4 separate regions of the Mus musculus genome follow, and regions 2, 3 and 4 are each reported to be linked to region 1. The links are microRNA targets in miRTarBase. Many come from high-throughput screens and were not tested one by one. Region 1 holds a microRNA gene; each other region holds the end of a gene's coding sequence.

Region 1 (3,104 bases):
GGTTTGGGTCATGGGTTGAGCCCACACGTAGAAACCCCAGTAAAGGATGGGGGCCAGGTTCAGTGGTGGAGTCTCCTAGAATCACCCAGTGAGGAGTTGAGGGCATGGTCAGGGGTGGAGCCCCACTTAGAGTCCCCCAGAAGAGATCTGTAAACATTCTGTTTGAGAGTATCAGCCTTTCCTAAATAGTGTGGCCGTTGCAGGAGGCTGAGAATGTTAACAAAGTCTTGTCCTAATTGACCAGTGAGGTAACAGGAAGTTTCTCCCACCGAGCTGAAGCCTGGAGAAGGCAGAGTTGGTTATGGGAGGTTATGTGAGTGGACTGTGCAGACCCAAGAGAGGAAACTGCATGGACAAAGCAGCCCCTGGGCTGCTGTGTGACTGAGTTTGATGTCAGCTTTACACGGGTGGAGCTTAAGGGAAGCAGGAACCTCAATTGAGAAAAGGCCTTTATCAGGTATTTTCATGATTAATGATTTAAGGCCATTGTGGGTGGTGCCATCCTTGGACTGGTGGTCCCAGATTCTATAAGAAAGAAGACTGAGCAAGCCAGGGGAAGCAAGTAAGCAACCAGTAAGCAACACCCCTCTATGGCCTCTGCATCAGCTCCTGCCTCCCGGTTCCAGCCCTGACTTCCCTCAGTGATGGAGTGTGGCCATCATTGTAAGCTGAATAAACTCTTTCCTGCCCTTTTCTTGAGTCAAGGTCCTGTCACAGCACCAGGATGCACACTAGGACAGCTGGGGAGAATTGCACAGTGGGGGATGGTTAGTGACTGCATTAGAATGTCACAGATGATAGGTGTTGAATGTTAAGAATGCCATGACCCACCAGACAACAAGTCCACATTTTCTTGGTATCAGTCATGCAACTAGTGGTTGCTTTGTGTGGCGGGCACAGAGTTTTATTGAAAATTGGGCTGGGGCTCCATGGGTACCGTACCCAGTCAAAGCATTTGAAATTCTGAATCCAACACCGTGTATGCTAGGCATGGTTCTCAGGGACTGGAGGCAAGAGAACTCAGTGTTCAAAGCCATCCTGGGCTACATTCAGAGTTAGAGAAAAGCCTGGACTACAGGTGACACTGTCTCAAAGCAGGCAAAGTGAAAAGAGTGAGGAAAAGAAAACAAGAAAGAGAAAAGAATTTCAGGGTTTTCTAGAAGTACCTTTGATGCCAATCCCTCTTTTAAAAGTTTTATGGCCGGGCAGTGGTGGCGCATGCCTTTAATCCCAGCACTTGGGAGACAGAGGCAGGGAGATTTCTGAGTTCGAGGCCAGCCTGGTCTACAGAGCAACAGCCAGGTCTATACAGAGAAACCCTGTCTCAAAAAACCAAAAAAAAAAAAAGTTTTATGTATGCACATGCTTTTAATTCAAACACTCAGGAGGCAGAGGCAGGTGGATCTCTGAATTTGAGGGTAACCTGGTCTACAGAGTAAGTTCTAAGACAGCCAGGTTTATATACAGAAACCCTCTCTTTTTTTTTTTTTTTTAAATGTAATTCTTTTTTTTTTTTTTAAAGATTTATTTATTTATTATATGTAAGTACACTGTAGCTGTCTTCAGACACCAGAAGAGGGAGTCAGATCTCATTACAGATGGTTGTGAGCCACCATGTGGTTGCTGGGATTTGAACTCTGGACCTTCGGAAGAGCAGTCGGGTGCTCTTACCCACTGAGCCATCTCACCAGCCCCAGAAACCCTCTCTTAAAAAAAAAAAAAAGAAAAATTTTTATGTGTGTTTATTTATTTGTGTGTGGAAGCATGTGTGTCACAGGACATGTATGGTCAGAGGACAACTTGCAGGAGTTGGTTTTATCCTTCTACCCAGTTGATCCTGGGGCTCAAGCTTGGGTTCCCTAATTTCAAAGCACTCTTTCCCTCTGAGTTACTCCACTGGCTCACCATTCCCTATTTGAGTCTCCAGAGAAAGCACGGTGCTGTGACCCAGGGCCCTGAGGTTGTGTCTCTGATCCTATCATGTAGATGTGTTTGAGTGACAGGCCAATAGCATGGGAAACACTCCTGCACTCTCCCAGGGCCCGAGACCTTGCTAGACACCCTCTCCTGTCCGTGCTAGACTTCCCTTAACCCCCTCCTGTCCCAGTTTCCTGCCCCTACCTGTTTGTGTATTTCAGGAGAAAGGTGATAGGAGTCCACGCTATGAGGCTGGCTGTGACTTGTTGTCATATCATATCAGAACAACAAAATCACAAGTCTTCCACATAGCACTGGCTCACGTACTCCGCTCCTCGTCCTCATCCTCCTCCGCCAGGTTCAACACCCTCAAGTGCTTCTCTCTCTCTCTCCATAGAGGATTGAGCATAACAAACCCCACTCACTGACTTACCCTCCCTAGACATCCCTTTTCCATTCCATCCCCTGAGACACAGGCAAGATTCATTCTCTACCTGCCCCCCAACTCACACCCTGGCACATCACCAACGTGGGATTTATTGTTCCAGGCACGAGGAGCACACACTTGTCACCCCAGCACGCAGGGAGTAGAGGCAGGAGGATGAGAACTTCAAGATCATCTTTGGCTACACAAGGAGTTCAAAGCTTGGTCTACAGTGTTTTAAAATAATAATAATTATATATATAATTGAGAGAAAAACTCTTTTTAAAAATAAAAAGAACTTGAGATTTAAAGTTGGATTGAGGCTGGCTTTCCCCTCACCACTTCACTTTGGAAATTAGTACACCCAGAGGCACTCATAACATCTCGTTGACCAAATGCTTCGCCTGTACTCTGTGAGTTTGAAGCCAGCCTAGTCTACATAGTGAGTTTCAGAACAGCTAGAGGTACACACAAAAAAACCCTGTTTCAAAAAAGAAAAAAAAAATCCCTCCGTAAAGGACAAATGCCAAGAACCATTAAGAGGTTCCTTCCCTGTACACTCTCCGCCAGAACAGACCCCAAGGCGATCCCTGAAGCTGGGTGTTGAGAGCTTGGCACTGCCAGGGGCCGGGTGCTGAAGCCTAGTCTCTTCGTGACCCGCTGGGAGCTGTCCGAAATCCTGGTGCTGAAGCCGAACTCTGCTCCGAGTCCCTCAGCCGGATGGCGCTGTCCGCGTCTCCAGTGCTGAAACATAATTAGTTAT
Region 2 (3,104 bases), not on the chromosome of region 1:
GCGCTGCAGTTTGAGGATGTATTCTGCAGTCGTCACGTGGCAGCAAAACTGTAAGCAGTGCACGAGTCCGTGTCGAGGACAGCCAGAGTCCATGCATCGGGAGATTCACTTGGCTGGAGAAGGACGGAGGGCAGGACGCTTGGCCCGAGCTCGGCGGGCGGGCGGGCGGGCGGGCGGGCCACGGAGGTGCAGTTCCTCATTTTTGCCACTAGAGGTCAGGAGGTCACTGACTCTGGGTTGGAAGACGGGACTGTTCAGGGATTGGCTAACGGTGGTGGAGGGCGGGGCAGAGACCAGGACGCGAGGTGGATGATGGGCATCAAGAGAGGCCCTGGTTACTGACAGTACTTTGGAATGACCTTTGTTTTTGGTATCAAATTTCCTCTTTGCAACGCTGATGAGCCAGAAGGAAGATACTCGTTTGGAATGAAAGACTGAACTGATTCTGAAACTTCTCAAAGGACCTTTTCCCTTTAGTAGAGATGTAATGTACTGGGGATTTAGAAACGTTCCAGGATCCGGGAAAGTTCCATCACTTTTTAGTGGCCATCACTTTTTAGGTGGCTAGAAGCCCTGCTTCCCACCCTGCCTGTCCCTGGGATTGGCAAGGATCATCATTGAGTCCCAAACCCACTTACTGCCTGGTGCAACAGGGATCCAGGTTTCTTGTCCACCTGAGCCACCTGTTCTTTTGATGAGCTTCAGTCACCTCAGGTATAATAAACATTTAGGTATAATAAACATTTCTGTATCGTCGGGGGGTTTCTAAACTCCTCTCTGAACAAAGCACCCCAAAAGGCAAAATCTGAGTTACTCAGAGCTCAACCAGGTGCACTTAAATATCTGCTCCTGTTTCTAGCTGTATGGGGAAAACATCAGGCCGGTCCCCCAAGTTCCTTGACCTCAGGCTGGGGGTGGGACAGCTGAGTTCCAGGGCTTGGCTGTAGCCTTTGGCAAATCCTAAATGGCACAAATGATTTCAAAGCCAGCTAGAGGGTGAGGTGGCTGACAATAACAAGACTTCTCTGTAAGAGACCTCACTAAGCCCCATTAACTCCGGAGAGAGGGACCTGAGAGTCCTTGTCCTCAGATAGTCAAAAGGCTTGGAGTTTTTGCTTCAGCCCTTCACACCGTGGTGGCCCTGGAAGTTTATCAACAACTCTGGAGCCATCTCATTTATAAAATGGGTTGACCATGCCTCCCACCACACAGGATGGTGAAGATTCAATAAGAAGGCGTTTGCCAATTCAGTAACAGGCGACACCTTTTAAAGAGGGAAACCCAGTCTCTTACAAGCAACAGGTGGCTTGGTGCTGTGGAGAGCTAGAGACCTATTTTCCCTGCCAACTAGGGAAGGCTGGTGAGCACTGTGGATTGGAATCATGTTCTGGGACCCCGAGTTCTTATTTCAGCTGTAGGAGGGTTCTAGGCTTAGGGCAGGACCCCAGTGTCTTATCACTCAGTGATGGATTGAGGAAAATGGGGCTCTGAGATGATGGTGGAACTCCTTGGTTCCCTGTTCCCCCTGTGCTCCTGAATCCCAGTTGGCAGGAGGCAGTTGGGAGCTTCAAGACTGACCAGTGTCCTACCCTTTCCTAGAAACTGAGGCCAGAGTTCTCAGCTCCTGAGGGCAGAACCCCCATCCCTCCACCTTCCCCCAAACAAGGCTTTCTATTTTCCACTGCTGGTCCTGACTGTCTTGATAGGGCCAGGATGCCATAGGTAGCCGTGAAGGACCTAACACCAGCTTGAGCTGAGGGGATGAAGAAGGGAGGGACAGGTGGGCAGGAGGGATGCTTGCTTCTTTCCACATTAGTAGGATCCCTTTCTCATTCCCCTGAAGCTGACTGGGAATTTACGCTGAGAACAGGAGCAGTGTGCATTGAGACCCCTTGGGAGCAAGATCAAATGGGAGAGCTTGGGTTTGAACATTGTTTCCCAAGTGCTTGTACACATCCCTAAGCCTAGCTCCTGCCTAAAAGCCCAATGCTGCCCTAGCGCAACCCTAGGCCCCCATGGCTCCCTGTCCCCTGGTACCCTCTTTCAGGCCTCCTCTTTTCTGTATTTGGTTTTCTCCTAGCTTTCAAGCCACAGCTGGGTTTTCAAGACTGTGCTGAGCCCTGACTCTCATGGGATGCCTTCCTTGCCCTCCACCCTTCAGCAGTCAGCAGTACCCACAGCCCCTGCAGACAACTGGCTGGTTCTGGTATGCTGCACCCCTTTGTAGCAATATGTGCACCCAGATGCCCTGCTAGAGTGGGAATCCCCGTCCCAGAGGCTCACGGAGTCTATCTGCCCATCAATGCACAAGCAAGTTGGAAGCTCTGGCTGGCTACATTGTCTGTCCTGGAGTCCTGGGCTCTGCCTGCCCATTGTCCTCCCTGTAGTCTCCAGGCAGCCAGAGTACCCCCATTTCTGGGCTTGCAGCAGGGCTCCACCCCTCACCTCCAATAGGTCCTCACTGTAGATAGCCCTTCCTCTGGATGGAGCTGAGGCTGAGGATTCCCCCAGCTCTGGCCAGCTTGGATGCCCAGGGAGCTGGAACAGGTATCATGTTGTGTTTTCCTGTCCCTCTGAGGGAGGCTGGGTGCTCTTGGCCTCCTAGCAGGGGCTGCACTGTCTATGTCCGAGCAGACAACTTGGATCTTGCCCTTGGCGGCAGCTGAGAAAGCCCAGGGTTGGACCTGTGTGGGCCGGGTGGCAAGGGTGGGTGGCAGCAGATGGGACAGTCAGTCGCTGAGTACAGCCCCTGGGAGCTCATTGGTGAGCGTGTGCCAACGCTCAATCCTCTTGTCCTTGTTCTTCAAGCAGTCAAACCAGTGCTTCAGGCGCTCGCCCTTGGCGTTGATGCCCAGAACCACACCACCTGCGGAAGAGATCAGAGGGGCAGCTAGGGATTTCAGTGCCCCCAGCGTCCAGACCCATTTGTGTGTGGACAGCCCCTAGCTTCCAGCCACACCCTTCCCACTTGACCCAGTGTTTGATGTCATGTTTCTCCTCTACCAGGGACCAGAACAGTGTGGGGCAGGGTTCAATGGTACATAGTAGGGAGTGAAAAGGGGGAGGAAGGGCTACAGTGGCCCATTGTGTACCAATGTCATGCC
Region 3 (3,104 bases), not on the chromosome of region 1:
TGGCAGGACTAGACGCTACACTGACATCCAGCTGCAGTACAGGGCGCTGTGCCTGAACACCCGCTACGGGACAACAGTGGATGAGGAAAAGGTGCGGGTGCTGGAGCTGGCCAGGCAGAGAGCTGTGCGCCAGGCTTGGGCCCGAGAGCAGCAGAGACTGCGGGAAGGGGAAGAGGGCCTGCGGGCCTGGACAGATGGGGAAAAGCAGCAGGTGCTGAACACGGGGCGGGTGCAAGGCTACGACGGCTTCTTTGTGACCTCGGTCGAGCAGTACCCAGAACTGTCAGACAGCGCCAACAATATCCACTTCATGAGACAAAGCGAGATGGGCCGAAGGTGACAGAAAGGGCCAAGGCCTGGACTTCTTGCCAAAGACAGCTACTCTTCTGTGGCCGTATTCCTGACTGTGTTGTACTTAACAAAAAACAAACAAAAAAACACAAAAAAACAGAAACAAAAAAACAAAAACTTCTTTTTAACAAGTGCAGAAAACAGAACAGAAAGATATTTGTTGCATTGTTAATTCATGCAACATCCTTTTTTTTTTTTTTAAAGAAAGAAAAACACAAATTTGGCCTTCACACTTTTTTTTTTTTGCAAAGAATGGAAGGGTTTTTTTGTTTTGTTTTGTTTTGTTTTGTTTTGTTTTCTGTAGTGTGATCATGATGATAATTTCATTGTCTTTTGTTCCCTTTTTCTCCTTGAGGAATTTTCCCTGTCGTTGAGGATACATTTCTCCTCTCTTGGGGGAGCGCATCTCCTTGGGTGTGTCCACATCCGCCCCTAGGTACCCAGTGTGATGTGAGACACGAGTGTCTGTGCTAACTTGTCTCGTGTGTAACCCTTTCTTCTCTGGCTGGAGTTGGGCAGGAGTGAGGGGTCACAGAGTCACAGGCCCGGTGGGACCTTGGGAGCTCTGGTTAGGCTCCCACAGAAGTGGTGAGTTGCTATTCACCATGTTTTGTGCCTCCTGAGGACCTACATCATGCTCTGGAAATTTCCATGATGCTGTTCAGCACCTTTTCAAGCCACCCCAAACTCCTGTCTGAGCTTTATATTTTGATGCTAAATGAACCCACCCACCCCCCTTTTACAAATCTCTAGTGTAGCTGTCAGTGCCGCCCCCCACCCATAATGAGATAGAGAAAGTGTGTCTCCCAGGCCCATTCCCTAGTCTGGACTATGAGCCCCATCCTTTCCAAGAGGGGAAAGCACCCAGGATGCTGTGAGTTGTTGATCCTCCATGATGCCCCTCGCTCATCTCCTCCTCTCTCCCAAAGTCAGTTGTGAGAACCAGCAGTGCGCAGCAAGCCCCCAACGTTCCCAAAGGGAAGTCGAGGGAACCCTGTCCCCATGGCTTTGGGTTATCTTCCCTCCAGTGCTCGGATGCCACCACTGATGATTGGGAGTGTGGCAAGAGATGCCTTTGATCCTGGAAAGATGTATAAAAGAACAAGTCAGCCAAAGACAGGAGTCAACAAAGGCATGAGCCAAGCACCCTAGCCAGGTCCTGGAGTCTCCTCTGCCTCCCCTGTTCAGGCTATTCCCTGAAGGCTAGGCCTTCAGGAATTTCCTTCTGTGGAATTCTTCATTAAAGAACCCCAGGCAGGAGTGGTTTTGTTTTTGTTTTTAAATAAGAAGAAAGAGCTCTTTGGTTTGGCCTAGCAGGGTCATACAACCCCACTGAGATCAGGGATGGCGGTGCCAGAGCTGGTACCCATGGACCCAGAAGGCCAGGCTAGCATTGTTCCTGTGAAGACCTGTGTACATGGCATTTGGACGAGAGTAGGCATAGGCGCAGCCAGTGCTGGAGGACCGGCCAGAGGGAGCCAGCAGGCCGGGGAAGTGTGGCGGGCAGAGGACTGTAACAAGAGCTAGGAGCTCACTGGAGGATTCCTTTCCTGCTTTGTCTGCCTAGATACCATTGTTATTGGCACTCCCAGTGTCTGGGAGACTGGGGAAGCCAAATGCTTCCTTTTGAGCCGGGCTTCTTAGAAAATGGGACTTTTATGGGTTACATTTACATTAAGTGTGGAAAATGAATTCCGAGTCTAAGCTATTCCCCGTGGGAACCTTGTTGGACTGATAAAGCTCATGGCACCTTTATAGCCTTACAGAGTCTTAAGAATATGACATGAGTTAATGAAACCAAGAAGGTCTCTTACCGCAGGAGAATCGGAGCAGTGTGTAGTTCTGCCTGGCAGAGAGAGGTGTCCAAAGCGTGTTGGGGGAGGGGAGATCTCGCCTTATGTTGTCCCACTGGGATAAGAGGATGTGTTTCGTTAAGTGCTCTTCCTGATTCCAAAAAAAGAAAAAAGAAAAAAAAAATCCGTCACGCTGTTGCAACCGTGTGCCACAGCCTGCTCTATCCACTGGTTGCTCATTGCCTCTGGATCAAAGCTCTGCTGGGTCAGATTTGATGCCCTCTCAGGCCCACAGTACCTAGCGCGAGCTGTAATGCAGACCCCCTTCTGGTATGATCATTCTTGGGTGGGATAGAAAATAGTTTGACCTGAAACACATGGGTTTTTCTGTATCCAGAAGACATATGCCCCTCAAAATGTACGTTTGCTGTAAGGGTCCTGTGGGCAGAGTTGTCCTGTGAGTTGGCCTAGTTGATCTGTCCCATACTGGCTGCCTGACATTGGCTGAGATCCGCCGGGGTCATTTACTTATAAGACAGAGAGACAGCATGTGACCCAAGGGACCATCTCCTTGTAGCTGTCCAGCCTGTGACTTCCTCCTCTGTTGTCTCCCTCCCTCAAAGACTATATTTTTAGGCATCAGTGAATACCATGAGATATGGGGTATTCTTCTTTAAAAGGAATGATCCCATATTCTTCCTGGACTGCCACCCCAGAGAGGAAACAGGCAAGCATCCCTGAGCTGTATAGGACCTCAGCTGTAGGCCAGACAGTGCCATGTGCCTCCCTTGACACTGATGCTGTCCTCCCTGAACTATGACCTTGGCTCCTTTCAGTTGGATTCCACCTCCCAGGTGTGTTTAAAGGCACAGGCCACAGTTCCTTTCGCCCATTTAGGAGACTTTAAATATAAAATGCCATCCTGGACAGCTCCCGCTCTTTCGACACTCATTACATCTA
Region 4 (3,103 bases), not on the chromosome of region 1:
ACAGAGATCACCTGCCTCTGCCTCCCCAGTGAGTGCCAGGACTGCTTTCTGATACCTGAAAGATATTTGTATTGTTCAATGTCTTCTGTACTGAATGTCCTTCAGTATCTCAGAAAGCCATTTTTAATAATACGTGCTATTGGCATTCTGAGCTATTAAATTGATTAACCTAGGAAAATTCATTGGCCACTGTGAACTCACACTCTATCATGGCCGGAAGACATCCGAGTAATGCAGTCCAGTGTTAGCTTGTGACTGTTGTTTTGTGTATGAATTTTTAAAGAGTCTTCTTTGTTTTATTTCAACTGGGTGAATTTCTCTTTTGTTTGCCGATTATTTAGTTGTCCTGTCAGATATGTGCCTTCCTTAAAAGTGGAAATGATTTAAATAAATGTTAAGGCTATAAAAATAAGAATTTTAACTGTTTTTGTCTTTTTTTCCTCAGTGACACTACCTTCCTGGAAGAAGAATTAAAGAAACTCATTGACGCGCTGATAGAGAATTTTCTTGAGCCCAGTAAGAACGCACTGGTCTGGCGCTCTGTGTAGGGCACATCAGTACGTTATGACTCTGCACTGACATATGGAACGAAACCTTCAAGAACTCCACTCAGTGAACCTTGTGTTAGAATTCTCTCATCTGCCAAGTTATCTTTTCCCTTTTCTTTCCTGTGTTCAGCTGGCTAAATAGATTATATACATTTGAAATGAAAATATTTGGATATGAGTCAAATATTTTCATAATCTTAAGTGACAGTCATTACAATGAAAGTGTTCCAGTGGCACGCTGTTCTTCCTGTATCACAAACAGTACAAAAGTGAGTTTTCATATTGAACTGTGCTTAAGCTTAGTTACGTATCTTGTAATTGTGTATAGCATGGTTTAAAAGAAGTCAAACATTATATAACTATAGGGTTAGTTAAGGAAATTACTTCTTAAAGGTGTTTGTGTGTTTGTGGCTGGGAGTACTGTTCCTGCCTGTTTTTCAAATTAGAAACCCAGCTTGGTGGCATATTCCTGCCGTCACAGCCCTTAGGAGGCTGAGGCAGGAGGATCATTAGTAGGAGGATCATTAGTTAGTTTATGGCTAGCCTGGGCTGCACAGTAATTCTTTGTCTAGGAAGGGAGGGAGGGAGGGAGGGAGGGAGGGAGGGAGGGAGGAAGGAAGGAAGGAAGGAAGGAAGGAAGGAAGGAAGGAAGGAAGGAAGGAAGGAAGGAAAAAATGTTTATAGGTTATTTAGGTTTTCTGATTTAGGACAGATGTTACCGTCTGTGGTTTGGCACCAGTGTTTCGGGTGCCCTTGGTGTGGTGTATATTTACTGTATGTATTTAAGACGGATGTTTACTGAACATAAAACAGTAGTGGCAGCACTCCTCATGGCTTTATTCTTGTCAAATTCCTCAGTGCATTCTCAGGGTCTAGTGGGAACTGAAATGATGTTCCTGTGTTGAATATAACACAGTCCATTTTCAGATAGTTAAGGAAAATCTTCCAAACTATATAGGTGCTTCCTCTATAGGAAACAGATTTGTTCACTCTAAAGATGGTTGTAGAAAAAGGTCTTAATAAATTTTGGCTTAATGTAACTGTAGCTGAGTCTTCCTGCTAGGATTCAGTTATCATAACCTATAAGTGAAAAACTCTGTCCTATGGCATCAGCATGGCATTTATTTGGCAGTCTTTTTTAATTACATTTTTATAGCCAGATTTATTTATCTGATAAGGTAATGCTAATTTTAATAAAAAATGAAACATCAAGATATAAGTATTTTCTACAGCCACACTACCTTGATTCAATACCCAATCTCATTCTCATTATCTCAGAAGCTAAACAAGGCTAAGCACGGTGCTTGAATGGGAAATTTTAGGTATTATGAAACACTGAAACTGAAGTTAGAACTAAGGTCAATTTATTTTAGTATGCTCCATCAGGCTTTGGAATTTCTGATCATATAAATACGTTTCATCTTTTTCAATGCGAAACAGTTTTCAGGAAAGTCATTTGTGGTTGACTCTGTAGCCTTCTGAAAAGCCTAATGGAAAAATACTGTCTAAGCTTTCCAAATTATATATTTCCCCAAATAGTTTACAGAATACACACACTACAGTTATGATAACAGTAGCAAGGCCTTCAGGTATAATCATTTAAGAAAAGTTGCCTATAGGAGACAATACTGATGTTAGATGATTAGTTTCCTAAAAATAAATAATATAAAGCCTATACTGATTGGAATATTAATTAAACCATGGTGTGTTTTGTTGCAGCTTGAGGATAATTTTGGTTGAGCTTATATAATCCAAAGATAGGTTTTACATTATGTTGCCACTACTGCTCTGTGTTCCTTCCTTACTGTCTTAGAACTGGGTCCTACATTATATAGATGATAGCTAGTTAATGTTCAGTGCCATTTTCCTGTATGAGTTTATTTTAGAGGCTTTGTGCTAAAAAAAAAGTAGCATGTAGAATTTTTTGTTTTATTTTTAAAACATTTTGTTGGCTTTTAGGAGTGTAAATTGTAATTTAGGAAATAACATGTATTCTACGACGTGGTATAAAAAAACATGCCCATTCAGTTTTAGTGTCTGTGTCTCAGTGGCCCAAGGACAAAATGAAAACTAAAGCAATGTGACAGCCTGTTTATAACAAGAAAGCCACGCCATGATTGCTATTCACTTGTGAAGAGAATATCTTTGCTTCAGTGCTAAACATACAAGAAATAAGTCATCGTCACGTGACGTTACTGACATTTGAGCCCTTATCTTGAAAGGCTACATCCCAGCTGTGTATAAAGGTTCCCAGAGTGTGTAAGTTGAGGAGACCGTTTGATTCTTGTCTACATTCTTGAGTCTGTCTGAGCATGTTTAACATGAACATGACACAGTGGGTGCACAGGTGCCTAACAGGCTAAATTTAATAACAGCTCAAGATAGGCATGCCAGCCTGTGGGTCTCGACCTTGGAATGATAACTGCATTGTTTATCTCATCCCTCTTTTCAGCAATAGCATGGGAATATATTCTCTTTGAGCAAATAAATCAAAATAAGTAATTTCTGGAGTTCTGAGGAAAAGAATTAGGCTGGAACATAGCTCAGTGGTAAAG

What was found. The annotated mature microRNA mmu-miR-7b-5p reads UGGAAGACUUGUGAUUUUGUUGUU and lies in region 1 at 2,201-2,224, opposite strand. An mRNA with a match to its seed (bases 2 to 7 or 8) in the 3' UTR can be bound and repressed. Matches are read on the target gene's strand: a 7mer-m8 pairs with bases 2 to 8, a 7mer-A1 pairs with bases 2 to 7 and ends in A, and an 8mer does both.
Region 2: the mRNA of Doc2b is a reported target of mmu-miR-7b-5p. Seed matches in the 3' UTR shown: 8mer at 239-246.
Region 3: the mRNA of Tenm4 is a reported target of mmu-miR-7b-5p. The part of its 3' UTR that is shown has no 7-base or 8-base seed match.
Region 4: miRTarBase lists Pgm2l1 as a target of mmu-miR-7b-5p. Seed matches in the 3' UTR shown: 7mer-A1 at 1,490-1,496 and 7mer-m8 at 1,599-1,605.

What each region holds. Positions count from the first base shown.
Region 1 is chr17:56,242,137-56,245,240 of GRCm38, reverse strand. It overlaps Mir7b (microRNA 7b), which reads right to left and starts at 2,253; the gene lies at 2,143-2,253. A230051N06Rik (RIKEN cDNA A230051N06 gene) reads right to left here. Exons shown (of 2, transcript NR_155493.1): 2 at 2,436-3,085.
Region 2 is chr11:75,769,203-75,772,306 of GRCm38, forward strand. It overlaps Doc2b (double C2, beta), which reads right to left. Exons shown (of 9, transcript NM_007873.3): 9 at 1-2,866. The coding sequence ends at 2,730. Among named protein-coding and RNA genes, the nearest start is that of Gm12339, 25 kb to the right of the region's middle.
Region 3 is chr7:96,906,252-96,909,355 of GRCm38, forward strand. It overlaps Tenm4 (teneurin transmembrane protein 4), which reads left to right. Exons shown (of 33, transcript NM_001310762.1): 33 at 1-3,104. The coding sequence ends at 340. Among named protein-coding and RNA genes, the nearest start is that of Gm22226, 12 kb to the right of the region's middle.
Region 4 is chr7:100,271,882-100,274,984 of GRCm38, forward strand. Pgm2l1 (phosphoglucomutase 2-like 1) reads left to right here. Exons shown (of 14, transcript NM_027629.3): 14 at 446-3,103. The coding sequence ends at 548. Among named protein-coding and RNA genes, the nearest start is that of P4ha3, 12 kb to the right of the region's middle.